Linked DNA regions of Lepisosteus oculatus. The protein of the gene in region 3 purifies or fractionates together with the protein of the main gene of each other region. This does not show direct contact. Links are inferred from orthologs where the notes say so. Each region holds a gene or a part of one and is shown on either strand. Other genes may lie near its edges.

Region 1 (7,965 bases), on a different chromosome or scaffold from region 3:
GTATTTTTAATCAATTCAATGTTGATTCCTCGGCTAACACACCTGGTAGCCTGGTACTGGACATTGAATCTTGAAAGGAATAACTTCTGGTAAAGCAGCGGCCAAGCATGTTTGATCCAATCTTGAAGAAAAGTCTGATAAATGAAAACAAATAATAGTACTTTAATACATTCATTCGATACATTCAAACATTAGGGTGACCTAAGGGGGGTGTTAATTGGGGGTGCAAGAGGTGACTCCTGATGACCAATATTGGCGGTTTGAGAAAGATGAAAAATTCTGCTGAAAGGTGCAGTCACTATCAATACCTGTGATAAAACCAGATATAACCAGTCCCATTACCAATCTGTTCTTAATTATTTATAGTTAGTGCACTGGCATGATCACACCACTAGTTTTCATAATGAAAATAAAAACAAAACAAAGCTTGCCTGCTCTGAATTTGTACATATAGTTTGAAAGCCTATAAACCAAACAACAGAGAGACTGATACACTACAGGGCAGGACAGCAGATTAATAAGGTCTGCAAAGGTACTACAAAACTTGAGTTCATTATATTTTTGAGTTATTGAAGGAGGACTTTTGACCATGTGTACATTTGTACACCCTGTGTAAAAGTAGTATTAGAATTTACCCATGGAAAGGAAACAATTAAGTTTATTCCAGTGAACATGAAGTGGACATTACAGTTAACACAATGGCTGTCAGTCACACATACATCACTGGCGAGAACAAATTTGCTGATCTTAATCTCTTGGTACTAAAAGAGTCTTGTAGACTTGCGTCCACTGTGGACTAGGATTGAATGCACCTATTGTTACCAGCTTGATGAGATAATCACAGAAATTCAGGTTTTATTTCTCCAACCACATAATAAAATGTTACAATCCAGGAACTTTTGCAGTTCACATCTTATTGCACTGTCCAAAGCCTCACTCATAACACAGAAATAATAAGGATTATTTGTAATGTTTGCCTAGCTGCAGGTGATCTTAAAGGCAGGTAATCACAGATGATTAATATGGGTTTTCTGGTGTATTATTCTGGTTAACAATAATAAAATATACTGTAAACATTCAACAGCTACAGACAGCAGTATAAATAAGGAAGACAGAGAGAAAAAAGAGGGACACAGACAGAAGGAACTCCAATCACCCTCCTCTTTTTCAAACCCTGTCATGCAAGAGGACCTTGTTCCGATCGGTCTTGGAGACCAGATTCAGGCTACTGTAGGTAATCTGAACCTTGCTCTTGAGATCCTGCTGTCCTGGTTGAAGAAATTATGAAAAATGTTCTACTAGCTGGTGACATTTTTTTTTAATTTTGAGCATCCATGTTGCAAGAAAAGACTTTTAGTTCGAAGTCATATACTTTTATGATGCAGGGTGTATTTCTGTTTCTATGTAATGACTGTTTAGTCATGACATATTGTTTCAGGTTTCTGGGATAGCATTCAGGTTTGTGGGTCAGTAAAACATAGGCCTCTGAAATATATAGTATATATAATCTTGTACCCTCTTGTGTTGAGAGGGTAACTGGTGTATGTTGTGGAACATTTTGTGTTGTTTAGTCATGGTATTTTATTGTTAATAAATATTTGTCTTATCCAAGACTCTGATCTGTTACTCTTTCACCAGAACTGTGCCAGAGACTATATATTTTTCAAACTGGAAATTATTAACTGAAGTTTGGGAGGGATAATAATGACATGTCAATCTCGCACAGCAGCAGCTGATCACCATCACCACCAAACTAGCTCCATAAATCCTCTCTAGCATGCCTCCTCTGCCTCATCTCCGTGTTAAAGCTACTGTACCCCTTGGTTCACTCAATCTGAATGGGGTTCAAGTCTCCTCATCCCTATGGCCAGGAGGCTACCCGTTAACCAATCAGGTTAAAACAAACTCTTCTCACCAAATAATCCAACTTCTCACAAAGCATTCAATCCTTGGATTTAATTTGACTGTTCCCACATAATTGTAACAATAAAATAACTCCCTTTCAAATACCTTATAGTGTTCAATGTGAACTTCAGCCTATCCTAGTGAAAACTGGAATCAAAAGGTTATATTTCTACAGTTTGTAATTTTCCCATGTACTGTATATGCGGTTTAAAGTTTAGTTTAGTTTAAATTGTTGTACTGTACACACATTTTCCTGTCCCAGAAAAGACAGAAATGCAGAGCATTCCATCAAGATTTTGAAATCAAGATATAAAAGCCAAAAATCCTGTTGTTGTTAAATGATCTTACAGTAAATTATTGAAAACAATTATGGGTTAATATTAATTTATAATAATACAATAATTGTTTTATTAGTTCTAAAATGTCATTATTTCCAATTGGATTGTACATGCAAGACTTTGAGCAATACTAAAATTCACAGGGGTTAATCACGTCACCATGTTAAACCAATATCACGAGGAAAACAGACTATCAAAGGCCAGAGAAACTACTTTATAAGTTGTAGGACGGTTGCACTAGAATCAAACAAAATACTCTGTTGCATTAATTTAAAAAATATTACAAAGGTATTATTAAATGGCCCAATAAACATAATAAGTAGTAGTTTACACTGAGCGCAGTGATGTCCTTACTCAGCCCCCAAAGAAAAAAAAAGTACATACAGTATAGTTCTGCATTGCTCATTGTCATTTTTAAGAATACTATAGTTGTGACTTCTGTATACTAAATGCCCCAATCTGTTAAAAAGAATATTGTCCAGACATAGGCTTCAGGACGTCAAGTGACAAAAAGATGAGAACAAAACAATACTTACTGTATTTCGAGTAACTCGCATATCAAATGATATACATCCTCAGTTCGATTAGCTCGCTCATCGTCATGTCGAAAATAAAAATTCACGTTAAAAAATACAATTTCAAATCTAATCCTAACTTACTGTACAGTGTTTGTTTTGTAATGAGTAACGTCTCTCGGTCAACTCTGTGTCTGAATACAGTATTGACAGATTACAGTTGAGGTACCCAAGCTACTGAGTAAACAGATGTTCGTCTTTCGGTTTCGCTTCTTCAACACTGTTCATTGCAGTTAAAAATGAAACTTAGCCGTTTCCCCGGTAGAAAAAAATCTTAAGTGCGGGACGGCAGGCTGATTGTATATTTTGTTATTGCACCACTAGAATTTCGGTTAAATATATAATATACAAGATAAAACGAAATAAGTATAGGGTTTTTTCTCACCACTTCATCCTCAAAAATGGGATAACTGTGTGCTTGCCCTTTTTTTACCCATTCGCGTGCCGAATAAAGACATCCTCGGGCACGTTTATCAGACAGGCTTACTTCCAACAGCAAAATTCTGTTTAATAAAAATTAATCGTTTTTTATTCTAACCTATATCCACAAGGTTTTTGCAAAGTATTTAAAGTGCTAATGATGGAATGACAACTCAACATTCGTGACAATATATGTACAGTACATTAGCCTCATACTGTATACTGTACAGTACATCACTAGAGAGAGTATTTAAAAAAATGAGGACTGTGCTTCTCGGACAAATGAATTTTCTGTGCATAAAACCAGGATCACGGGGAAGATGAAGAGATCAGCTAATAAGTATCCATACTGCACACTGGTCATAAAAGCTATTTATATGAATTTGACATTCTGTACATAAATGACAAACCTAACAATAAGATCACATTTTGAATCCTTCCCACAAAATTAAAAAACATCCCCACAATTTAAATTTAAAGTCCCCTGGAGACAGATTTTCAATTACATATAACATATCAGTTTCTGCCATCAGTCTTTAATTTGTTTGGCTTCTATCTGGTTGTAGTTAGGTGACAGCATGGAGTACTGTTAGGGCTCTGGAATGCAGAGGTCATAGGTTCAAATCCCAGGTGAAACAATTACCTCCTCACCAGGAAGGTTACAATTGGAAAAGTGAATTTGTTCTCAATTCACTAAATTGGTTAAGATAAAAGAATTTTAAAAAACATGGTTATACTGCAAGCATGGGTCCACAGCACTAATCACAGGTTAACAATATTCCAAGTGGTGACACTAAGAAATAATCTATGGCTACAGCTGAACAGTCAGTGGAAGAAAATGTTAAATATACTTAATGGTTCAACACGTTCTACAAACCTACTCTGACAATAATAAGTATGGGGCCACTCAGAAAAATAAAAACAACCAAGGTAATGAATCAATATATTGCATTGCTTGAAACAGGAAACTCTTTGGAGACTAAAGCATGACTCTAGCAGCACATTCTACCACACAGCTTTTTGTCTGGCGTGTGCAAATGATCCAATATCAAAATATCAAATACAGTGTAGATTTGTGCCAACACTGAACGTTTTGCATCACTCACTCATTAGGATCTACCAATAAGGTTTCAGTGGGGATAAGATCAGGGGTCTGCAATGACTTTGGCAATGATTTCATAGCCTGCTCTTCCCTCTGATATACAGTAAGTAATTCAAGCATATTCCACATTTTTTAAAGCCAATCCAGCCATCTAAAATACCGGCTTTATCCTTAAGAAGGTCATGGTGAACCAGAGCCTAACCTGGCAGGCCGAATCACACAATGCAGGACTACACCTTGGATGGGACACCAGCCCATCACAGGGCATACACTTGGGGATGGATTGTCCAATTCAGGGACACCAGTGAATCTGAACAGCATGTGTGTGGACTGGGTGAAGGGGGGAATAGAGCATGCAGACACAGGAGAGATACAGTAGATCTGCCAGGCAGATGAGCTAACTGCTATTGCTACTATGGCAATTTACTGATGAATGTTGTGCTGAAAAAGATACACATAATTCAAAAGCCACCTTTCTGAGAGTACTGCAGAAGTTGAAGAATTCGTTTTTCAAACATCACACATAAGACATTTTTTTTAATTTCCTTGAGTGTACCCAAGTAAAACAGGCAACACGTTACGCTACTTACATTGGATTTTCACTGGGCAGCAGGATCACATGAAGGATTTACAGTCATTATATCTCTTGGAAACCTTTGTTTTACAGAAAAATATGAATACCCAGCATCATACTTCACTATTTGCTATCGTCTTCACCATAGTGGAGCACTCCTGCAGTGAAGAGTTACACCACTTGTACAAAGAATTTATGGACAGAAACACAAAATCACAAGCATTGTTATATAGACCATTTAGGATAGCTCACTGACAAGAAATTATACAAACGATGTTGGATTTTATAAAACCGATACTTTCACTTCCAAAATTTTGATGAAAGTAATTCTTTTCACTGAGGGACAGTACAAAGCAAATGGTACTGAATGGAGTTGGGCTGAAGATCAATAAGGACTGTCAGTACAGGAATGTACATATGCAGCAGACTCCGAAATTATTGGCACCCTTTGATAAATATGAAGAAAAAAGTATTAATAAAATAAACCACATAATGATATTTAATGCTCATGTTAGGGGAATACTTGTCCTCTTTTTCTAAAACATTTTCTCATTTTAAGGTTCAATTGCAAACAAGCAATGCTGTTTTATCTGAAAAACACAGGTGCCAAAATTATTGGAACCCTTCAAATACAATCAAACACATTTGAAAAAAATAATACATTAATACTTGTATGAGTTCAATTTTGTCTTAAGGAACTAATGTGTGTAGCTTAGTTACTTCCTGTTTCCCTAGGGTATAAAAATGACGAAACGCACACAGGAAAACCTTTTGACATCTGTAAGCATGGGGAAGCTGAAAAAACTAACAACAGAAATTAGGCAAACCATTGCTGATCTTCAAAAAGCAAATAATTTTAAAAAAGTAAACCCTTCAAAATACCAATATCGACTGGGAGTGGATGCTGTGGTCAGATCAAAATTGAACTTTTTGGCCACAGTCATGTTTGGCGTAAGAAGAGGGATGCATATACTGAAATGAGCATCATACCTACTTTAAAATTTGGTGGGGGATCTTTGATGCTCTGGGGCTGCTTTGCTGCCAGTGGTCCTGGGGCCCTTGTTAAGATCGATGGCATCATGAATTCTCAAAAGTAGCAGAATATTTTGGCCATAATCCTGATTGCCTCTTAGCTGCATCTTGGCCGAAGATGGATCTTTCAACATGACCATGATCCAAAACATACTTTAAAATCAACAAAGAAATTGTTGACAGAAAAGAAAATCAACGCTTTGCCAACTCAGTCGCCAGACTTGCACCCTATTGAAAACCTGCGGTCTGAGCTGAAGAGGGCTGTCTATAAGCGCACACCTACAAACCTCAAGCACCTGGAAAGGTTCGGCATGGAGGAATAGTCTAGAATTCCTCACAGTGTGTTCACCAATCGGATAAAGCATTATATAAAAAAACTTACTGCCATCATCCTTCCCAAGGGAGGGTCCACCAAGTACTAAAAACAGTAATAATTGTAATAAAATATGTTTCTTTTATTTTGGAGAAAATAATTTATAATAGTTTTTGTCTTGGTTGATTTCATTTAATCATTAATTCAGCATAATTACTTATGTTAGAAATATATTTCAGTGCTTAATGAACTCATTGTTTTATACTTTTTTTCTTCATATTTATCAAGGTGTGCCAATGATTCCGAAGTACACTGTAGTCTAATTGTTTTAGTGGATTTTTGGTTTTTGTATGTAATATTTACAATGTCCTCTAGATTTACAGTAATCATACAAAAACCTCTTATAACAGAATGAGATATGGCCTGGATAATGTAACTTCTTTAAAAAATTCTAAAAATGTTATAATCATAATAAAGCATTGCACATAGCAAAGTTAGAATTAAATATTTGTCCGAAATAATTAACTGAATTTCAGAAAACACAATTGGAAACACAAACACATTTTTTCACACCTCTAAGTACTCTTTTAAATAAAGTTCAATGAAAACAAATCTTTACTTTTTGCTTTGGGAAGTGCAGATATATAGAGAAGCCTCCAATAGTGCATTTAGCTGTGACTGAATGACTACATCTGATGGACAACTGGAACCATGTCTTATAATAAGACAAAACATACAAACATACGTAAATTGATCTTTTCGACATGCTTATCAGTGTTGTTTGGCTAAAAAATGTGAAGCTTATGCTTATATTCATTGGTTAAGGGAGAACCATAATACCCAAATACCAAATACCCAATTCCCTGTGCAAAAAAGCTCAAGCTTGGGAAACCATGCACAATCCAGCATGACAGTGATCCTCAGCATGCATTCCAATGGACAATGACGTGGTTAGCTACACACAAAATAAATGTTCTTTACTGGCCCAGGGTCTGAAGGAACTAGAGCAATCCTGGCTGGAGGAATGGTTACAATTCTCCCTTTAAAAGCACTAGAACTTCATAGCAGATTATAAGAGGCATATAGTGTAATCTATACAAGATTGGGATTTACAAAATACCAATTACCTTTATGTTTTCTGGATTTAAACCAATCATGACATATGACTTTACTCTGTCCAATGCTATTTAGATTAAAACATAACATTTTCAGATTCATTTTAAGTGAGACATATTATCCAATACATAAATTCTTTCTATGATGTTTTGTGTTCCTACTGTATCAGGGATATGAGCAAACCTAGAAGGAACTGTATATCCTGTATGTAAAGACATCCTTACAGCTCAGATTACAGAAAATAAAATGAAAAACACTTTACAGCAGCATCCATGTTTCAAAGGTATGTTGGCTCTGAGGATTGGCCTTCATTTGAAATCTCCTGCACAGCAGCACAGTATATCTTAGGACAGTCCAGTTTTATTTATTTCTCTTCTCTCCGGGTCTTCTTGCAAAATCTGGGCCTGATTAAAAATAATAATAAATAAATAATATATGGTATTTACTCAAGGAGACCACCTGTAGTTCTTCAGAGTCTGCAATGAAAGTCGGCCAAGTTTTGAAAAAATGCTGGATTGTTGCTTAGTCTGTGACAGCAGCTCTGTAATAGGGTGCAAACATAGTATCCCACATCTGTCGGAACATCTGGA
Region 2 (6,840 bases), about 68 Mb from region 3:
CGCACGCACAGCCCAGCACGATCGCTGCAGCTGCTGAGTCTGAGTCCTGAAACACAGCTGAACGCCGGTTAAGACACGGGAGGACTCAGATCAGCCCGGATTTTAAAACCTGACCTTTCCGGTTCGGGCTGTGACACTCCGATTGAAACCCCTGAGTGTGGCGGAGCAGCGGCTCTGTGGCTCAGGAACCGCGCCTGTGGCTGGAAGGTTGCCGGTTCAAATCCCATGGCCGGCAGAGGATTGGGCCCCTGAGCAAGGCCCTTAACTCCAACTGCCGTATACATGGCTGACCCTGCGCTCTGACCCCCAGCTTCTCTCCCTGTCTGTGTGTCTCCTGGAGAGCAGGGTCAGCAATTCCTAATGTAAGACATTGTCTGTGGTGATCTTATCTTATCTATGTGTGCGTGAGGGGGGGGTACATGGAGGGGGGGAGTGAGAGGGGAGATGTTGAAGCCCTCATCAGTGGCGCTGCGACATTTATTCTCAATCTGCTACAGGAGACATACAGCTTACAAAGTAATATACGTTGTTCTACCAGCCCAATGCAAGATAAACATAGGATCCAGACAAATATCACTGCGTTTATACTGAATTTACACAGCTAGCTCCTCGCAACACTATGGGATGTGGAGGAAAAAGTGTCGTTATGCCTGAGCAAAAGGAATAAAAATAGTCAAACTTTCCCCTAAGGCACAGCCAGGTCCTCTCTCAGGGGCACACAGCACTGACATCACTGCTCCTGAGACAGCGCAGCCACCTGTGTGTTAAAACCAGTCAGCTGACTGCGTGTGAGCCAGTCAGGGGTTCCCCATCCTCGTTCAGAGGACCCCAACACCTGTTTTTGACCAAAGTCAAGATGGAACAAAGCCCACAGACAAACCAGTCCAACAGGACCAGAACTGGACCCCCTGCAGACACACACTGACCCTGCAGAACCAGACTGGACCCCCTGCAGACACACACCGACCTGCAGGACCAGGACTGGACCCCCTGCAGACACACACCGACCTGCAGGACCAGGACTGGACCCCCTGCAGACACACACTGACCCTACAGAACCAGACCGGACCCCCTGCAGACACACACTGACCCTACAGAACCAGACCGGACCCCCTGCAGACACACACTGACCCTACAGAACCAGACCGGACCCCCTGCAGACACACACCGACCCTGCAGGACCAGGACTGGACCCCCTGCAGACACACACTGACCCTACAGAACCAGGACTGGACCCCCTGCAGACACACACTGACCCTACAGAACCAGACTGGACCCCCTGCAGACACACACTGACCCTACAGAACCAGACTGGACCCCCTGCAGACACACACTGACCCTGCAGGACCAGGACTGGACACACCCGCCCTTAATCCTACTCTGGGCTCAGAGCTCACCAGGTCCTCCTGGATGTGTCCACAGGACTGAGAACTGATCAGGGTCACTGACAGGGAAGTGGAAGCCTGCACTGCAACTCCTATCAGGGGCAAAGTGGCAACACCGGGCCTAAAAGAAGACTGCCGCTGCCTCACCCAGACCCCTACGCACTGCTGAACCGTGAGACAGAGCACCAGGGGTGCTGAAGGGCACACTTCCCCTTTCTACCATGTTCAACACCCCGTGTTCATGTCTCGAAACACGGCACCCTGTGACCAGTTCTGCTTCCAGCTCTCTGGGGTGGGGGGAGTGGTCAGCCCTCTCCTCTTTGACCCCGGCAGCCAGGAGCAGGCCTGACTGCAGGAACTGACCTGCAGCTTGTCCATCTCTGCTCAGCCACGGTCATGTAGCCGGGAGGGGACCACTGGCCACAGTGAACATGGACCGGACCGGACTGGACTGGACCAGACCGGAGTGGGATGGATGAGGTGTGGGGGGGGATCTCCACGCAGGCTCCGTGGAATGCGCCACGCTCGGAATGCCAAGAATTCGCGTGGGGAGGGAGGCGAGATGAGCCGGGCCGATGTGGACGGGGCCGGAGCCGGACCCGTCCCGGCCTCAGGGGGAACCGAAGTTCCCTGTAGTGCCACGGGACCGGGGCGCCGGCGAGACGGCAGTTCAGGCCGTGGAGCACCACGCAGTGCCCGGATCGCAAGTGAAAATCAAGGCATGTCACCGGCGCAGCGCTGCAGAGCGCAGAAAGCGCCGCTTCTGACCCGGAGCAGCGCTCTGTAACACACTTGCGCAACCCCTCTAGTCGGGATCTTCAAGTCCCCCAGCCTGAGCTCCGCAGCGCCACGGAAGCTCCCATAACAACAACAACAACAACAACGCGACATCGTATTTTAACATAATTTCTTGTAACTCGGCAATCAATCCGATTTTGCTGCCTTTGAATGCGAGTTTAAGAATGGAAAGTCCACCATACACACTGTACAGACCCCGGTCCTGTTTAACCTGCTGCCCCCCCCCCCCATGATCACTGCAACGGGACCGCCTGGTGTCGTGGACCTGTCCGAAACGGAGCGGTTCGGTTCGGTTCCGTCCCGCCCAGCCCAGCCCAGCCCAGCCCAGCCCGCCACTCTGTCTCACTCCGTGCGCCGCAAGAGCGCACAGCTCAGCCCGGGGGGAAGCCGATTAGACACCGGCCGCTAGCCGGCTAGTCCCGGGACGGACCAACCCCCGCCGGTCCCGCACCGGGACCGCCAGTTCGGACGGGGGCTAACTCACCGAAACGCAGCCAGTCCGATCTGTCGAGGCTGTCCATAACCTTGCAGAACTCGGTCGTGATGTGCGCAGGCAGGCGGTACAGGTACTGCCCCTCGATACTCCCGGCGGACATTTTCGTCTGCTTCGGCTCCGGGCGGTTTCCGGGAGAAGTGGCCAGCGCCTTCCTCGGACTTACAACGGTCCCGTCCAAAACCATCGCTCCGCTGGCGGAGGCGGCGACTCCATCTGCGAGGTTCCACGCTACTGACTCACTTCCCCTTTAAGACTCAGAAGGACTTTTTTTTCTTTCGAAGGGGTTGGTTGGGCTCCGAGGAGGCGGGGAGGACTCCGGAAACGCGCTTCGGAAACCATGGAAACCTGGTCCTGGCCGGAAACGCCATCTTGAGTGTGGCGCACCGGGCACAGGGATACGCGACATCTCAAGGCGCTGCGTTCCCGTCTCGGTCGGTCCTCTCGCAGCTCAATCCCAACCATGACATGTTTACAAACGTACCGCTCTCTCACCCTCAAAAAAATAAAATATATATAGAGAGAGAATCATAGCGGAGAGATTACTAATAATAATGCTGATTTTGAGGCGTGTTCCAGTGGGAAGACATTCGACGTAACACAGTGCTCTCAGGCCCACTGGAATCGTGTTGTGGATTGAAACTGGTGTCGTAAAATACGGAGAACTGCCGCAGACAGATGGGCACCCTGTGCTGTGAAATATCAGTGTTCATTTCAAATATCCGCTTCAGCCTCCACATAGTGTCTGGGTGTGTTGTAACTGTCACCAGCGACCATTTTTGTCACAGGTAATAGTCCAAGTACAACAGTGAGTTAAAATGCCGGTTAAGACTCCAAACTGGGCATGAGATGTATTTCTGCAGGAAGAAACACCAAATTTCCAATTGATCCATCACAAGCTACCTGTTATTATAAAGTGACTCCCATTTCCGAATAACATATATGTCCATTTATTCGGTCTTCTGAGGTGGGGTGGCTTGAACTAGAAATAGCATTTATGTTTTTATTTTTACTCATATTTATGAATATGCTGTAATGCTCCAAAGATTTTATTGTCATTGGAAAAACCACACCTAAAGATAACAACAGTGATATAGCCAGCAGCCATATCACCCTGCAACTCACAACTGGCAACCCACTGAAGCTCAGCAGGTGTGAGCCTGGCCAGTACCTGGATGGGAGACCTCCTGCGAAAAACTAAGGTTGCTGCTGGAAGAGGTGTTAGTGGGGCCAGTAGGGGGCGCTCACCCTAATGCCCCAGTACAGTGATGGGGACACTATACTGTAAACAGGCGCCATCCTTCGGATGAGATGTAAAACCGAGGTCCTGACTCTCTGTGGTCATTAAAAATCCCAGGGTGTTTCTCGAAAAGAGTAAGGGTGTACCCCGGCATCCTGGCCAAATTCCCCCATCGGCCTTTATCAATCATGGCCTCCTAACAATCCCCCTCTATGAACTGGTTTCATTACTATGCTCTCCTCCCCACTGAGAGCTGGTGTGTGGGGAGCGTTCTGGCGCACTATGGCTGCTGTTGCATCATCCAGGTGGGGCTGCACATTGGTGGTGGTGGAGGGGATCCCCATTACCTGTAAAAGCGCTTTGAGTGGAGTGTCCAGAAAAGCGCTATATAAGTGTAAGCAATTATTATTATTATTATAACAAGCTCTCTCGCGCCCCAGAACCATCCACAGAAATGCCGTGATTGATTGATTTGATTTCAGCAAACACTAATTAAATGTTGCAGAGAGTCAAAATATTTGTGAGGTCTCACAGATCATGTCCATACAGATGCCGTCTGTAAAGCAGAAACCATTTTTAGCTCTCAAATCAATTTGTGTTAAGAAACGTTTCATTTAACATCTTTGGAGTGAATTCCACCCCTAAATGCTTTTAAGGAGCAATCAATGGCAATTAGTAATCAGACAGCACAGAAATTCCATTGAGGTCCAGGAATTGGGAATCGGAGACATCAGGAGGGGTACAGCAAAGTAGCTGAGAGTGGAGGAGTAGTAAGGGTTGTGGGTTCGAATCTCATGTGTCTGTCGACGTCAAAGAGCTGTTAACCCCTGGAGAGGAAAACAGAGCAGAAGAAGCAGTGAAGCCGACACAGTCCCCCGGACAGCAGAGCTGACAGGAAATGAAAAATGGCAGAATTCACTTTCAAGTGTGGAGACTCTGCCTCTCATGCTGTACACTGAATCTCCAATACCGAGAACTCCGCAGTACCCCCAGCTTATCATTCTGTTTCTGCTGTTTATGGCAACGTGCACCTTGGACTGTGAAGAGAGCTGATCACGTGCTAAACGTGATACGAGAAAAAAAAAAGAGTGAAGGAATAGCTGGTGGTCCTGTCTGTCATCCGATTTTGGCTGGAAAAACAAATGGGAGAGTCCAGACTGAACTGCGCAGCTGGAGAAGACATGTGGGGGTGCAGCACCTCTGCTTCCGGCCCGACTGCGCTCTGAAGCATGCTGCCAGGGGTGCAAAGAGCTGTTTCCGTGACACAGGGAGAAATGCAGATTTGAGATTAATGCTCTGGCCTCAATCCCATCAAAGCAATCTAGGAATACAGAAGGACGAGCATAGGGAGGGGGTTCAGAAACGGGGATGAGCTGTTTAGGTACCTTGTCCTATAATCATCAGCATTTTCTTCACCCACTTTATATCCAATTCAGGTCGCAATCCGGAGCCTATCCCGGCAGGCAGGTGGCGAAGGCAGGATACACCCTGGATGGGAAGCCAGTTAATTGCTGGGCACACACAGGCACAGACACTCACACCAGGACCTGTTTTCCCAGAAGCCAATTAACCCACCAGCATGTCCCTGGGCTGTGGGAGGACACCAGAGCGCCCGGGGGAAATCCACGCTAACACAGGGAGAACATGCAAACTCCACGCAGACAGCAACCCAAAAATTGAACCCGGAGCCCCAGAGCCGTAGGCAGTAATAACTGCTGTGCCACCATGCCAGCCTCCATGATCACCCATCAATAAAATAATAGACAGGCAGGCTGTCAAAAAAATCCAGGAGCACACGTGCAAAATATGAACCCAACTTCCTATTACATTTAGTCAACACTTTTTGGCGAAACGCGCTTTGCCTTTTCATGATCTCTCTCGCTGTACTGCACTCCAGACCTTTTACCGGCGGGATCCATATATTTTTCATTTATTGATGTACAATGATGCTAAATTAATACAGAGCTAGAAACAACCCAGGATGCAAACCGCATGCTGAAACGGGGTGAGCTCACTGCCAGCCGTGAAGACAGGCAGGGCACAGCACAGAGGGCAGATCGTTACTGCTGTTGCTATTATTACAGCCACGCAGTGTAAAGGCTCATAAGAGAGCATGCTCTTCTGAGAGCGCGAGAGGAACCGCGCAGGGCCTCTGTGCAGCAGAGCTTTCTAAGAAACGGGGATGTAAACTGTCATCCGAGCCGTGTGGGCCGCCTGGAAGCGACCTGAATAGCGGCGCGCTGACAGAGGGGGAGACCGAGCCCCCCCCCTCCCCCCCGCCTCTCTCTCTCCCACCCACTTGAATGGTGTGCTTGTTCTTGCTGCAGCAGCGGCAGCAGTTGAGTCATGCTGAGTGCATCCCGCGCGAACTGCCAAAAGAGCTCGGCGACCCCCCCCGCGCTCTTCGTCACAGGCGCGCTCCGCGGTCTGCAGCAGGAGGGAGGTGGTTGCGTCGTGTGTCGTCCTGACGGTCCTAGGATGTGTCTGTGTGTCAGTGTTGTGAATGTCCGCAGATGTTGCACTGACTCTATCGGCTCCGGCATTTTCTGTCATGGACCGGTCGTGCCAATAAAGCTGTTGCGATTTGAATTTTGCTGCCAGAGTGGCGTGGCGCTGTTTGCGTGCTCTGCCTCGCCCTGTCGAGCAGAAGGGCTGGAGAACGAACCTGAGAACAGGGGTTCGACCCGACTGGCTCACTTGCGGGCCAGCAGTTCATCAATCCGACTCCCCAAAGCAACCAGAAAACTGAAACTGACCCCAGGCTCCTCCCCGCCACCCTGTATTGGATAAGGAGGTCAGAAAATGGAAGGATGGATCTGTAACCTGGTGAAAAATTCCACACAGTGTTCTCAAAGCAGTCTCACTAGTGCCTTGCAAAGGTTTAACGTGACACCTCTCGAGCGTCCCCACATTGCCTAGAAGAA
Region 3 (7,477 bases):
CAAACACATCAGTCCCTATATCCAAAGCACTTAGGTGCAGAAATCCCTATTGCGTCATAAGGGGATCTAAGTGCCCATGTGTTTGGAATACAACTCAGTCAACACCAGTCTAAAATGTGAAAGTCTGAATTTCTTTTGGTGGATAACAGGGATGCCAATTATATAAAAAAGCACTACAATAATGCATTTTAAAATACAGCAATATTAAAATGTGTTAAGATCGCCTTGCAAAGAAAATTGAGGGACCTGTAAGGAACAATTAAAAGTAATGAACATGAGAAATAATTCTCTAACTTTTCACTTAAGCATACTCTTAAAATGAGAAAACTAACCCATTTCAAGACATCAGACAAGAAAAAGGTAACTTTATTCTAGATACAGGTTTGGGCAAGGACAACTACATTACTTTTGGAAACGTTTCTGATGACGTCTGAAAGTCCAGCAGAGTATATGTGAAATGGTATAGTTAGTCACTTGCACCTTGCTGGTGTCCCCACGGTTAGTCCAACTCAGTCTGAAAACCACCTGCCAGGCCCTAACAAAAGCTGAATTTTACACATGAGCAGATGCTGACACATTGCATGTCTCCACCAACCTCTTCCACAGGTGCCGGACTAGGTTAAAGCCAGCAATATAAAAGAACAGCACACGAGCTTGCTCCCAAAACGCGGCTGGGAGGACTGAGCGACTGTTGCGACGTGGGTTTTGATCATAACTGTACCAAAACATTAGGTTATTAGTGGTGCTGATGCCAAGCCTTAAAATGCCAGTACAATGGATAACCGATAGCAAAAATAAAGACTCCTAAATTAAAATCCCACCTCGTCTACAGCATGACTCCACCACCATCAAACATTTCTCCTGTGCGAAGAAGAGAAATTCATCATAGAACAGAATAGTCAGTGCAGCCCAGTGAGTTCATTCCTATTGCAGAGGTACCGGCACTGGCAACCCTGGGACTTCTGGTGGCCATAATTGGGTTCATGAATCGTCCGTGATGCTCTATTGCAAGATCACCTGTAGCTGCTGCTGCTATCCAGGAGTGACCCCTCAGGTGGGTGGACTGTTTTTTTTTTCCAAAAAAGCGTGTGTCCTATCGGTTTCTGGCCCTGCTGCTGTCCCGTAGGTACACACCTGTCAGCACAATTCCCATAGCATGTCTCCCTTCTCTTTCAGTGAGCAGCTGCAGCATTGCAGTGTGACTGAGTCAAACGAACCAGCGAGGCCTGTACACAATCACAAATTCGCAGGCGTACATTTCTTGGCATGTCCCACATTCTCACATGTCACTCTCGGGGAATGACAAGAAGTGCAGAACAGGCACACCAGAATTAACATTTTCTACAGTCACATCTCACCATTTGTAAAGTCATTATGAAGCTGCTGTCTTGGTTAACGGAGCACGGCTTAGTAAGGAGTGAGGGCACTCATTTCTAAAGTGTTTGAAGTATGATTTTGGAAAATTATCTGGCTGCATAATGCATAATAATCGAAGCAAATTTTGGCCCAGAGCGAAACCTTTTCTAAGTTCCTTGTTTTGCGAATGCATTGAGCAGGAGCAACTGAGTTTATTATTTTGTAAGCTGTTCTTTTGAGCAATGCGGGCATTCCGAAAACAGACTGTGGGTTTTAGTCTACTTAACAAATACGGTTACAATTCACCACTCTGTGGAATGCACTGTGGTTAAAATGCTAATGTTTCCACTCGATATCTATTAATAAATAGTGTGTAAGTTGTTTCCCTTTCAACCACAGTAAACTACGTTGTCAGTACTCAATACATATTTAATGAAGGCCTTGTTGTAAACCACTGTTGTAGAATTCACTCGCATAAAGGGGATTTTCTCTTCTTCACACAAGATGTGCAACACAAAATACAATGCTAAAAAGTGAAAACAGGTCTTGCAGCTCTTAAATCAATCGCGATAACCGAAATATGCGGAGGAGAGCAGAGGAAAAATAACTTATATGCATTTATTCTGTGGTACACAGCAGATGTAACATTCAGCCGATTATTTCCACACAAAAAAAACGTCGTAGCCTTTTCACAATCCCAAAAATATTAATTTAATAAATCGCGGAGCTGCAGTTTTGCGGGGAGTAAATTTAACTTCTTAGCCAAAACAAGCCTAGACGAATCAATCAGCCCCCCTAGAAAAGATTGCATCTAACCGTGGGAAGTGCAGACTTCAAATGATGTTTCAATAAGTGATTATACATTCCCTTGAATTCAGTCCTCTCTAAGTGGCCTAGATAAAAGACTTGCCCTTATTTAAAACCTTACCTCTTCGACTTCTATATCATTATAATCAATTTCTTCGAAAGGGTATCCTGGTGGAGTTTCAATCATTTCTGCGGACGGTGCAGACATCGCTATTCGTCAAAGTTGAGGGGTTATCAAAAACATCCGGAAATGCGAAAAAGTTCACATAAGATTCATCGTAATAACGAGCAACAACAGAAACAACTGATCTGGTAGACCAATTATTACTTTGCAAACGTAAACAACAGTCTGGAAAAAAAAAGTCTGAAGACGTTGCTAATATAGCCTACTGACAGCAAGATGCTGTTAACCTAAAAAAAAAACAACAACACGTGGATAAATACCTCACGTTAAAAAAAAGTATGCATTTACAGCTACTAAAATCACTGTTACTGAACGATTAGTTATTAAGCGCCTAGGCCGCTGTCGGCCTGGCTACAGCCTAGGGATGAACTGACTACCCCTTGCCGCAGACTGAGCTTCCCACATCGGCGCTGTGCCTTGAGCGGAGGTGCGTGTCATTTACTCTGGCGAACTGCGGCTACAACCCGCGCGTACGAGCAGACCCGTTCCCAAAAAGGAAGAAGTATCTCGGACCCATTTGATCCGGCGATATAAGTTTAAAGCCGAGTTTCCATTGACTACAGTATTTTTTTTTTTCCGCAGTTGCTGCGGCAGCTCCAGGAAGTGGGTGTTGCTCGGAAAGGCGCCCCTCCGGCTCCGCTGCGTTCGTGCTCCCGCCCGTAGAGGCGCTACTGACAGCGACAGCCGGCCCGCCGAGGCGGCGCTTGAGCTGTGAAGGAGGGGGGGGCGGACAGGGGTATCTGCAATTGCCCGAAAAAATACCCCGTTACAGACCACATTATGATCTTAGTTACAGATGTAGTTTTTACGATTGCATTGGGTTCGTCTGAAACGCGTATACGTTTTAACACCGGGGTTAACATTTTGAAATTACATGGTTTTTTTTTGGGGTGCAAAATAATTAACGGGCCCCGTTAGTTTCCTGCATTGGTTAAGAAATGTTCATATTAAATGCATATTTAAAAATCCATACAGTAGATGGACACATTCAAATGCATGGAAGTCTGATAAGCACAGGGGTGGAAGGTGGTGAGTCTCACACAGTGTCACAGCCCCGGGGCTTGAAGGCAGACTAGGGAGCCTGATGTGAGTTTTCATGATCTGCTTGTAGGGTCTTTACCAGTTCCCAGTCATCTTTCGGAGACACCTGTGATTTCCTTAGGGGCGACACGCATAAATCATCTTTCAACCAAGTTGTTGAGTAAAGGTTGAAGTTGAGTCCTTTATTCGTCTGCATAGAGGTTTGTAGCAGTGTAGTATATTCTACTGAATACAATAACATAAATGGGATCTTGCTTCTTTTAAGAGACTCCTTTACACTCCTTATTTAAATTAAGGATAATTGACAGCCAGTTGAATTACTCTTAAAAATACAATTGTTTAAAATTCATTTTGTTGGTGTAGTCAAGGGGCCCATCTGGAGTACAGTATCTTGTTTTTGTGCAGGAGAGGAGAGGAGAGGAGGAAACCAATATTAAGGAGACTGCATGAAAATAAATTAAAATGAGGAGTTAAACTGGATTTGCAAAGTCTACTGTGCTGCTGAGTACAGAAATACAAGAGAAGTGTGTTGTTTGTGCTGCGGATAGATAGTATCGGACCTCAACTGCTGGACAGTTGTAGCTTGTAGTCACTAAGACCCTGTTTCACTCAAAACAGGTTCTTTATATCTGTGGAACCACAGATCAGACCAGACAGTTAATCTACATCATTATAGTTTTGTTCCTCTGTCAAGTACAGTCTAACATTAATTGTAAAAGAAAACATGGAAAAGTAACCAGAAGCGACACACATGAGCACACGGAGCAGCACAAGAGCCCCATGGACTACAGTTTCCCAAAACCAATGTCCCACAGGACAAGTCCAGCAGCGCAATTCTCCGAAAATAGCTCCAGCTGGCCCCCGGCGTCTGGCTCTTTCTGCCACAGCAGACCAAACAGACGAAACTCGCGTCTGGTCCTTCAGTGGCCTAAACTGCACGAACTACACTTGATCTTAGCCAAAAGGCAGAGAAACGTTGATGGTCTAAATGACCTGCAGTAAGTGCTCTCTCCAGCTTTGGCCTCCAGAGACATGTGGTCCATTATGCCTTTCCCCAGCCTTGTTTCCTAGTGTTGTGTGAGTACAAGTCAAGTACAGGTGAGGGTGGAAGGAAGATGATGCCTGAGCCTTCCTCTGCTGCTCCGTGTAGAGTCCCCCTGTGATGTCTAAGTCCTCTCCTATAGTCCGCCCTCTGGTGAAACCCCGTGTTCCCCGAATTCTTCTCTTTCAGTTCTTCCTGAGTGGGGCTTGTGAAGCCTCTTCCTGCTCCAGAGATCAGGACTCGAAAGCTGAGGGGTGGGTGTGTCCTGGTGATGCCTAAGGTGTGGGCAGAGCTAACGGCTGGAGGCCCAGTCAACAGACTGGCAGCAGTGTCCATTGGTCTCCTGTTCCAGAGGCCCCCCCTGGTGTCAGACCTAGATTTCCCGGCTAGCAATCCCACAAGTCACCTCTGAACCGTGTGATTATTGACGTGTGTCTCTGCAAACTGTGTGTAGTTCAGTCTTTGTGGATTCCCCACCGTCCTACCCTGTGCCTTAGGAAGACCTTAGATTGAGGGGAAGCTTGAAGAGGAAAGACAAACGGATCCCGTGATAAAGACCCTGGCCACCATGTGCAAACTTACTGTCTGTATAGGCCCCAGGCTCCTGCCCCACTCTCAACTTTTGTCGCTCAGTTTTTTGTGACATTTGCCGTAGTTTGCTCTTTAGTTGGCACCTTCTTTGGTTTTCATTCCCTGCACAGTGTTATTTTTTTAAATGAGTAAAATTGTGATTTTTTTGTTTCATATTGGGATGCACTTTCTGAAGCAGAGGTTGTAGCGAGTATTGCAAGAATGTGAACTACAGTACTTTTGATGCCGTTGAAATAGTGAAGTTTATTATTTTAATATATCCTGAATGCTGCCTTTTAAATTATGGTGCTCAATTATACAATTTTAATAACATTTTTTGTCTTTTCTCTTCCCATTAAGATTTACAACCAGAACAAAAAAAACTGCAAGTATGAGCATTTAACATAACAGCCCTGAGTTAATACAATTTGATTATGAAATATACTATCATCTGTATATATTTCTTCAGTACACCACTTCAGAACTCTTGATTTACACATTGTTGACAAATATCTTACTGTTCTCCTGTCATTACTAATGTGACTGCTACATTGCATAGTTAAAAGGATTAGCGAAACCTTCCTGCTAACAAGAAATCTTATTACAGAAGGAATATACGTCAGACGTCTAGGAGTAAATGTAAGTAAACTATTAAAATAAAACACCATGAATACATTCATGTATTTTCTAAAACAAAACATTGATATAACAAAATTTCCACAATAGAGACATATGATATTGCAGCGTCCACCCCCAGCGCTGGACTGCTAAGGTCTGCTGTCTGTCCTCTCCCCTTGCTGCCTTGCACACACATTCACTTCCTCCTTTTCTTTCTCTTCCTCTTGAACTCCTAACTGCCTCCATCTTCAGATTTTAATTTCAAGAATGTAATTGTCATGGCCGATGAATTACAGAGTTGCCAAGACAGAAACAATTAACAGGACATTTACAGACATCTGCGGGCACCACATAGACGTTAACTCTCTGTACCTCAAACTGAGACAACCTGAAAAACACAAGTCTAGGCTACAGGCTGGGAGTCATGACACCTAACTTGGATGCATCATCACGTCAGTGTGATATTCTGGGCACGAGCATCTGGTAGCTACGGAGCCTGTCCTTCCAGTGATTGATGGCACCCTAACTGCACACCCCAACATTGATCAGGCCCTGGGCCTTCACTTACTGCCCTTCCTGTAGGCTCATCCCGACATGACGCACATCTCAGCAGGACAAACGCAGGACAAAGCCGAGCATTAATGCTGCTCGTGTACAAAAGGCTCTCCTGCAAGATTAGAATGTCACAAGTTCTCGTCGCCGTCGATTCACTGCATGACTTGATCCCTATTGAACACTGGGGGTTGAACCGAGATGATGTGTGGCATGTAGGGCACAGAGACCAGTGAATGGGGAGGTACTGCACATGCTTGTCTAGTATCTGTGAAAGAAATGGGTTAGAACCCAACTTGACTGCATTTGAAAACCTGGCGCAAGGCATGTGAAGCAGAGGTACAGCATAGCTTTCAGCAGTGCTGCTAGCCTAGAAACTTTCACTCAAGATCCCAAGTTCATCATCCCTGTTGATGAAAAATCAATCAGCTGCAACCCGGTGCAGAGCATCACTGGTGTAGATCTTATACTGCTTCCAATGGTGACCAAATGACATCTATCTATGTCATGTCTGTTCAGTAACATGACAGCTGCTGCTACAACAAAGACTGGGTCTTTTTTCAGTTAACTTTGTGAATCTGTTGCAGGTCTTTTGATTCAATTCAAAATACTTTATTCATCCCCAGGGGCTTGACCAATTAAATGTCTTCCAGACTTTTTCATTCCTCAGAACATAGACTTACAATTACTGAGATAACGATGAATGAAACTCTGTGCTTTATTTTATAGATCTGTATTGATCTATATTTAATATTGATTAAAACTGCAAACAATTCTGTACATAGACTGCTAATGTACCCTTTAATTAGTTTTCTGATTCTTTGTGTTTATTTTTAAATCTTTTACCTGTAAAGTATTATTTTAAATGTGACCATTGTTTATCATTTTTGAGGTGACTTCTGATGTCTTTCACTGCATTTTTTTCCTCCTGCCTTTTAGGGAGATCAGTGCCCATTGCCCTACACAAAATTGCATTACACTTCAAAGATAATTAATTTCCTGAACTGACGTGAACCGTCTGGACCAGAATGATATGTGTCATCTGAACATTTAGAGACATGCATACATATAGAGGTGGAGCAGTATTACAAGTTTTATTGGAATTCGACAGGGACTTCATACGTCACAGACTAGAAATAGCTGACATTAACTTCTGCAACAAAATCACATCTGTTGTGAACAATGCTGACTCAGAGGTTAAACTAAGGTAAATTCTAAACCCTAACTCAATGTCTTGTTCCATCTGGCACAGGTGTGCCTTCTGGATGACAGCCATATGATCTCCTTTTAAAAGTATTTTGTAAAAC
Region 4 (6,928 bases), on a different chromosome or scaffold from region 3:
TTAAAATTGCCATCTACTTTTGCAAAATCTTGCAATCTTGCTTAGAGTGCAGTTTCAATCCATTTCAATCAGAGCAAAGCCATTGGTTTCACATTTTAACTGTTACAATAGCTATCCAGGTGGGGCCTGCAAGCTTTTTTATTGGTCAAAACTGAAGCCCTGCACCCAGCTGACAATACACAGACGACACCCTACTGACACGGGGAACTGCATTTCAGATTTTGGCATTCAAAGTTTTGAACCCCAAAAATGTAAGCGTCCACCTCAGTGCAAGCTAAAGGTATCTTGTTATCCTAAGAAAACAAGATGTTGTTCTATTCCGATTCGTCCATCATCCTGGCCAGCTTCTCCAACACCAGTGAAAGAGGTCCACAGAGAATAACAGATCCTGAACAGCCACCTTTAAAACACTGCCGAGTCTGACTTACTCATTGCGTGGTGGCCCGGTGTAAACTGTTTTCAAGACCACCAGAGCATGGCTCTGATGGTAGCACAGGAAGACTTGGCCGAAGCCGCCATAGTCCAGGGGTTCCTTCTTGATGAGGTCCGTGGAGCTCATACGGATGGACTCCAGAGCCATGGCTCCGCTCTCCAGAAGCTGCTCTACAGACAGCCTGCGGAGAAACAACGTGGCAGAGGCCTCAGTACGACAGTAACACGGTGTAACGTGCAACAGCCTAGTACACAACGCAGTTACAGTACACGTGTCTGCTTTTGCCCTCAATTCCAAGTGCTTCGCGCCCTCCTGTCACCACACAGCAATCACAATGCTACCCACGTAACCTTCCCAATTCGATCCCTCCAGGCTTCGCCGAGCACTCGGAAGAACCGTCTGAACAGTTCTTTCTTCATGCTCATGCAAGCTTTCCAATACGTTTAGCTTCAGCTGAAATCGATGACTTGCCACATACCATATAGCTGCCAGCCAAGCCAGGACAAACACACAACTGGCTACAGCAAATCAGATGGGCTGAGCAAGAATACCTGGGAGGTTGCGAATGTACGTCTGCAAATTTGCCATGTGTGAATTGTCTCAATGAAAGACATACTGCTCCTTTGAAAATGGGAGGTGCGCTCTTCATACTTTGGTATGCGTGATCGGGTTCAGTTTTTTCGTTTCTGGGTTACACAACCTCCCCCTTAGGTCTTAATTAATCTTATTAGTTATGAAATAGAATCTAAAAGTCGTTAATCTTGTTAAAATGTCCCTCCTTTGCTATGACGTACAACTGCAAAAATAAGGGCACTATGCGCTATCCATGGTAAAACCACACTATTTAAGAAAACATTAAATTTGTTAAATACAGTTTGGAAACGAAACATACGTACGTATGGGAGATATTTGTAATCGAGTATTTGTTCTTAACTTTTGTCTATTTCTAATATTCCTTTGCAAGAGGAAAAACTTTTTGCGTATTCGCAGAGAACAAACCAGGAAAGTTTGACGAAGCAGAAAAGTGCCTACAACCTATAGAAAAGGCTGTGAATATTCACATAATAATATCGGCATTATTAAGTATATTTTACCTTTAAAAAGACTAGCATATTTAGAAAGCGTTAAATACCGGACAGGTATTCAAAACCAATACTACTGTCAAACCAGTCGATACATCTATCGTTGACACGTCCAGTTCACAAAATGCCCAGCCTACAGATGAGACAAAACCGTTCCTACATCCCCCGGAAAAAGACATCATTATTATTAGCGTTTTATTTGAAACGGAATACCTTAGTTCCTACATCATACAAAAAGGGTTAAAAGCAAAACTATTTTTCTTTACAAAAAAAAAAAACTCTTACTCTGCAGAGGACGATTAATCGGAAAAAGACCATTTACGAGAGTTTCACTTACTTTTACGCATTCCCCCGTCGTTTAAAGCACCTTTTCAGACTTCCTGTTCAATATTCGGGTCTGGGATCAGACAAAACGAAACCCAAGAGCAAGAGGGAAAACCCACTGGTGTCGATTCCTCAGACACTAACAATCGACACCGAGCAACCGATCTCCACTCTCTTTTGCATGACCCAGCAATACTGAAGCGTCCTACAGAGCCCGAACAATAGACTGGCAAACTGAGGGTTTGAGGAAGAACTGTACTTTAAAGATGGATAAGATTACAGCAGGAAAATACAGCTCTGTTTCCGCGATGATCAGAGAGTCCACTGTTTATACTCCATCTCCCAGCATAATCACCGAATTAAAAGTATCTGTTTGGATATGATGTCGGTTTACCTATTTTTTAGCCTTTTAATAGTACTGATACTAATAACGACAGCGACAAAGCACTAATAAACCTCATGAGTGCCGGTAAAATAGAGGATATATAAGCGTAGAAGTATACAGGTATGCATGTATATAATATAAAGGTAACCAAGAATATGTAAAGTAACACAAAAAGAAAATAAATAATAACTTATGGAGGCAGATGTGATATTGGCTGTGTGTGTGTGAAGATGTCGTGCAAAACGGTTCCACGCTCCCGGCAAACACGCGTGGGTGGAGCTGGAGGCAAGGTCCAATTCCGTGTCTGAGATCGAGAGGGGTTGAAAGCACAAACCTTTTTTTTTCTGTAACAAGAACCAGCTGTTTTAAGGCCATCCTGCTTTGGAAGGAATACAATTTAATAGGTAAAGTTATTTAAGGTTGTGTCAAGGACCGGTCAGCATTGCGAAACACGGCGCTAAACCTACCGCCTGGCTACAATGTGTCCGGGGCTGGCAGCCAGGTGTGAGACAGACCACCCCACGGCCGCAGGGCGGCGCCCTTCCTTTGTCGAGCGGACCAGAGCGCAGTCCACGTCCACGCTGTCACAACAAGCTCTCAGGAACGGGAGGCGAGACGTGAAAATCGATCAAATAAAATTCCTGAGAAGACTGCGGCGCCGAGACTGTATGAGCCGTCTGAGTTTAACTAATGACGTTTCCCGGAGACCTCAGAAAGGGGCTGGGAAAAATGTATAGCCCTTCGCAAGTTCCCTGGATTGCCCGAGACGGTGTTTAATATGCTTATATTAATATACTTTAATAATTATAATAAACTGATATGTTGAGAAAGTAGGGGTATACTGTTAACTGAATGGTGCATTCCCAGCGAATAAACAATAAACAGTCTGAGAATATTGATGGTTTGCTTCTTCTCCTTGCGCCTGCTGCGGAGGGTGGGAGAGCTGTATTTTGATGAAAAACTGAATGGAACTGCAGGCTCGCCCTTTTTTCCCACCCAAGATCCGTGGTGTGACGGTAAAAAGGTGTGAAAAAGAGTGTTTTCTCTTCACCGATGTCTACGGTTTCAAAAAGGAAGCAGTGAATCGCGATTCTGAAGCTTTTCAGAGCTCGCTGGCGCACAGCCCTCCAAAATGTGGAGTCTCTGTTCTGGGAGAAAACATCTCGGCCGCACACTGTACTGTACGTGACCACGGCTAACCAACAGCCGTCACCACACCTGTCTTTTTCAAATATACTGTATATAAAAAGCACGAACTTATGTCAACAATACAGATTAATTTATGTATTCATATTCACAACATCTCATGTATTCATATTCATAGCATTTAGAAAATTAGTATTCTAATATTCAGTATAAATATTAGAGTTTAAGATATTCTTATTAGACCTGTATACTGTAGCAGTCTGGAATTCACCGTTATTTTTGTTTTGTCTTGTGTAGTCATGGTTATAGTGCGACATGCTGTTTTATCTTCTTGTATTATTCTCTTGATGTTTTTACCAAGATTACATTTTGGAAGATTGTGTGGATTTAAAAAAAAGACATCCACGAAGGACTTTGTAAGGAAGGGAGCTGGGGAACACCGATTTGTTTTTGTCGCGCAGGGTTCGGCCGAAAGTGTCCTACAAAGCCCGAACAATAATAGACTGGTACAGTGAGGGTTTGAGGAAGAATTTGTACTTTAATGTTTGATAAGATTACAGCAAGAAAAAAAAATCAGTTGAGTAGAAATGGGCAACTCCATTTCCTCGATGGGCGGAGAGTCCACTGTTTACACACTCCATCTCTGAGAAGAATTAACGAAATAAACTTTAATTATTAAAGTATCTGTTTGGACATGATCACCTTTTTGTAGCCTTTTAAGAGTTGCCATTCAAAAAGCTGAGCGAATACCTTTTGACGAACAAAATAAGATTTACTAATACAAAAAACTTCAAGAATAAGCACAATTTTACAAAGAGGGACTTATACAAATAACTATTCAAGAAAAGGTACACTTACAAAGAGGAATGCCAAAGCAGTAAAAAAGAATCTTCGTTGGTAAAACGCAGTTTGAATTTTGAGGAGGGAATACACTTGTTTGATTTATAGCACCACCTAGTGAATTCGGCTCCAAACGCTATTCAGATAACTACACTTCTGAAGTTGTCATTCTTTCCAAAACAAATTCTGATTAAAATACAAAATAACAGCAAGAAATGGGTGAACGTTTAGCTGAAGAAGACAGCTGAAGGAAATATCTGTTTTTTTTAAGGTATCTAACTGAAAAGTTATGGATCACACACCGTATTGCAATATTTTTTTTTAACTGAGACTTAATGTTATGTATCATGCCACGAACTGCTTCTATTGACATTTGTATTGTGTATTTGGTTACTATCTTCTAGCTGGCTTTGAGCAGATCTGGTCAGATAAAGCTAGGCACACTGATCCTGCTCAGTACTGGTGTGGGGAGTCTCCAGGGTGATCAAGCAGGTGTTACCCTTGACCAGAATACCCAAACGCGACACCTTAGCCTGTTGATTGGGGGAACAGTGCTACAGGTCGTAGCATTGTAAACGTGGGTTTTAACGAAGACGACGAGGTCCAGCAAGAGGTATAGGCAGACGTTCATACAGCCAAGACACCAGCAGCAAAGCAAGGCTGTTGGGTCTTACGCCATACTGCTTTCTCCCGCCTTACCGGAACAGGAATGACGCACAACAGCCTTACTACGCATGACATGACGCATGTCACGTAAAAACACTATAACTAAATTAAACAAAACACATGGCTAACTATGTTTACTACCTGTTACAACTAACTACATATCAGTATTATTATTTGGCTTCATCACTCTATTCTCCTCCCCACTGATAGCTGGTGTGTGGGGAGCGTACTGGCGCACTATGGCTGCCGTCGCATCATCCCCGTTACCTGTAAAGAATTTTGAGTGGAGTGTCCAGAAAAGCATTATATAAGTGTAAGGGATTATTATTATTGAAAAGTTCATTCAAACTCCCTGGATCTGTAAGAGTAGAATGTCCTGAGGATGAGGACTTTCATCTTACACAATCAGACCTACCTGAACTGAAATATTGCTTAATTGAAAGATTGCTGGCGCACAACGGCTGCCATGCTTTTTCTAGGAGTGTGATTCACGTCAGATCTGGGTGACGCGGCTGTACCCCTACAAGAAAAGTCTTTAAGGAATGGATTATTTATGGAGCAGAATCGTTAGATGCTGCTTATTAAATCAGTTTTATTGTTCCTGTTAATGATTCTAGTTTTATATTCTGTATTCAGAATATAGTGTACCCGAATACCTGTTTTTCATCTTCCAAACGAATTATTGGCACTGTCGCCCTCTTGTGGCTAAGATTCTTAAGTTCACAAAAAAGACGTGGACGTACTGGATCTGAAAATAATTATTTCTACATACATGTCATCAAAGCTTATTTCTCTGACAATACAAATGAAGGTCTGCATATAAAAATACTACAGAAAATCTAACATATTTATACATTTCTGCTTATTTAAAAGGGGGTTTGGTGCAACTTTCCCTACGAACACCCTTTGGGCTGTTTACCCGGACCACGCCCCCTCGAGCACCTTCGCCACGCCCCCCTGTTAGTCTACCAGCCCTGTTCCTCGTCTCCTCCCCGTGTCTGTTCGCTCCCTTCCGGGTTGGGCTGTCTGCATAGTGTCCTGAAAGACGCTATGCGACACTTAGATCGCAAAAAAAAACCAAAACAAACCTGCAACAAGAGCAAATGTCATCTTGTTTGCAATTTTTCTTAAGTTGTTATGTTCTAAACTTTTCTGTAGGGGTGTCGTCGTTTAGTTTTTAACTATTTTTTGACAGCTGTTGTAGTGATGCCATCAGAGCAGTTTAATTTGCATCAGAGCAATTGAAATTTTCTGTGTATAGTATTCCAAATGCTCTTTATATGAAACGCTGTGGTACCATGAGGTACTGTACATGATAGATGCAATATATTTGTATTACAATACACCAGGAAGACGTTCTCCAGTCGCAGAAGGATTGTTTCCAGAGGATTATGCTTTCCAGGGTTCAGCAACAATTTTAATACCTGGATGATAAAGAAACTTCGATGCATGTAGTATACATATAACTGACACAGTACATATAACGTGTTTGCACAGTTCTTTTCAGAGGAAATTCGAGAGTTAAAATGATTGGAAACGGAAGATGCAGCAGTCAGGTGTGAGAATATGAGTTAATCTCTGTCCCCACTGTTACACTCCTTTGAGGTTTACAGCCATTTCTTTATCAGGGCGTTGTTTCCTTTCTAGAAAACAGTTAAAAACATTAATGAAAATAAAAATGAAAAGTCACCATCAGCAATACCTTGTTTATCTAACGTCTTTTCATCATTCAAAACTTTAGTTTCAAAATGCACTGTGTGGCCATTAATATAAATAACGGCCGTGCTTTCGGCACACCTGCTGCCTTTGCACTGCTTTCCAATGTTTTCCATTTCTTCTTCCACAGAGTTGTTCATGACAGTGAGCTGCAGAATTATGCAAGTCTTCCAGGGCCAGGCAGAATGGTAGGTGATATCAGGTGATGCCGTGATTTTTCCACTGCTCTCTTATGCCGCGGAATATAATTAACGAAGGCCTCCAGTTTCACCTGTCCACTTTGAACAAACGTGACTGTCGTAACCGTCCCTCCTGCATTGTTGTTTTCACTAGCAG

The links.
Region 1: the proteins of map3k7 (region 3) and usp18 purify together in Homo sapiens (affinity purification with western blotting; 4 studies listed by BioGRID, with this or other methods). This does not show direct contact. The link is inferred for Lepisosteus oculatus from reciprocal best matches to the Homo sapiens genes MAP3K7 and USP18.
Region 2: the proteins of map3k7 (region 3) and irak1 purify together in Homo sapiens (affinity purification with western blotting; 5 studies listed by BioGRID). This does not show direct contact. The link is inferred for Lepisosteus oculatus from reciprocal best matches to the Homo sapiens genes MAP3K7 and IRAK1.
Region 4: the proteins of map3k7 (region 3) and ripk1l purify together in Homo sapiens (affinity purification with western blotting; 5 studies listed by BioGRID, with this or other methods). This does not show direct contact. The link is inferred for Lepisosteus oculatus from reciprocal best matches to the Homo sapiens genes MAP3K7 and RIPK1.

Annotation. Positions count from the first base shown.
Region 1 is NC_090702.1:9,053,651-9,061,615, reverse strand, and holds the start of usp18 (ubl carboxyl-terminal hydrolase 18), read right to left. Parts: upstream 3,019-7,965; 5' UTR 2,780-3,018; intron 135-2,779; 5' UTR 110-134; coding exon 43-109; intron 1-42. Other genes in the region: pex26 (peroxisome assembly protein 26), read right to left, coding at 7,898-7,965. UniProt on the Homo sapiens protein: Interferon-induced ISG15-specific protease that plays a crucial role for maintaining a proper balance of ISG15-conjugated proteins in cells. Regulates protein ISGylation by efficiently cleaving ISG15 conjugates linked via isopeptide bonds.
Region 2 is NC_090697.1:75,465,900-75,472,739, forward strand, and holds the start of irak1 (interleukin-1 receptor-associated kinase 1), read right to left. Parts: upstream 3,001-6,840; 5' UTR 2,864-3,000; coding exon 2,668-2,863; intron 1-2,667.
Region 3 is NC_090697.1:7,519,435-7,526,911, reverse strand, and holds the start of map3k7 (mitogen-activated protein kinase kinase kinase 7), read right to left. Parts: upstream 3,021-7,477; 5' UTR 2,786-3,020; coding exon 2,725-2,785; intron 2,374-2,724; coding exon 2,285-2,373; intron 1-2,284. UniProt on the Homo sapiens protein: Serine/threonine kinase which acts as an essential component of the MAP kinase signal transduction pathway. Plays an important role in the cascades of cellular responses evoked by changes in the environment.
Region 4 is NC_090701.1:4,748,227-4,755,154, forward strand, and holds the start of ripk1l (receptor-interacting serine/threonine-protein kinase 1), read right to left. Parts: upstream 3,001-6,928; 5' UTR 2,692-3,000; intron 2,185-2,691; exon of another isoform or gene 1,853-2,184; intron 615-1,852; 5' UTR 581-614; coding exon 429-580; intron 1-428. UniProt on the Homo sapiens protein: Serine-threonine kinase which is a key regulator of TNF-mediated apoptosis, necroptosis and inflammatory pathways.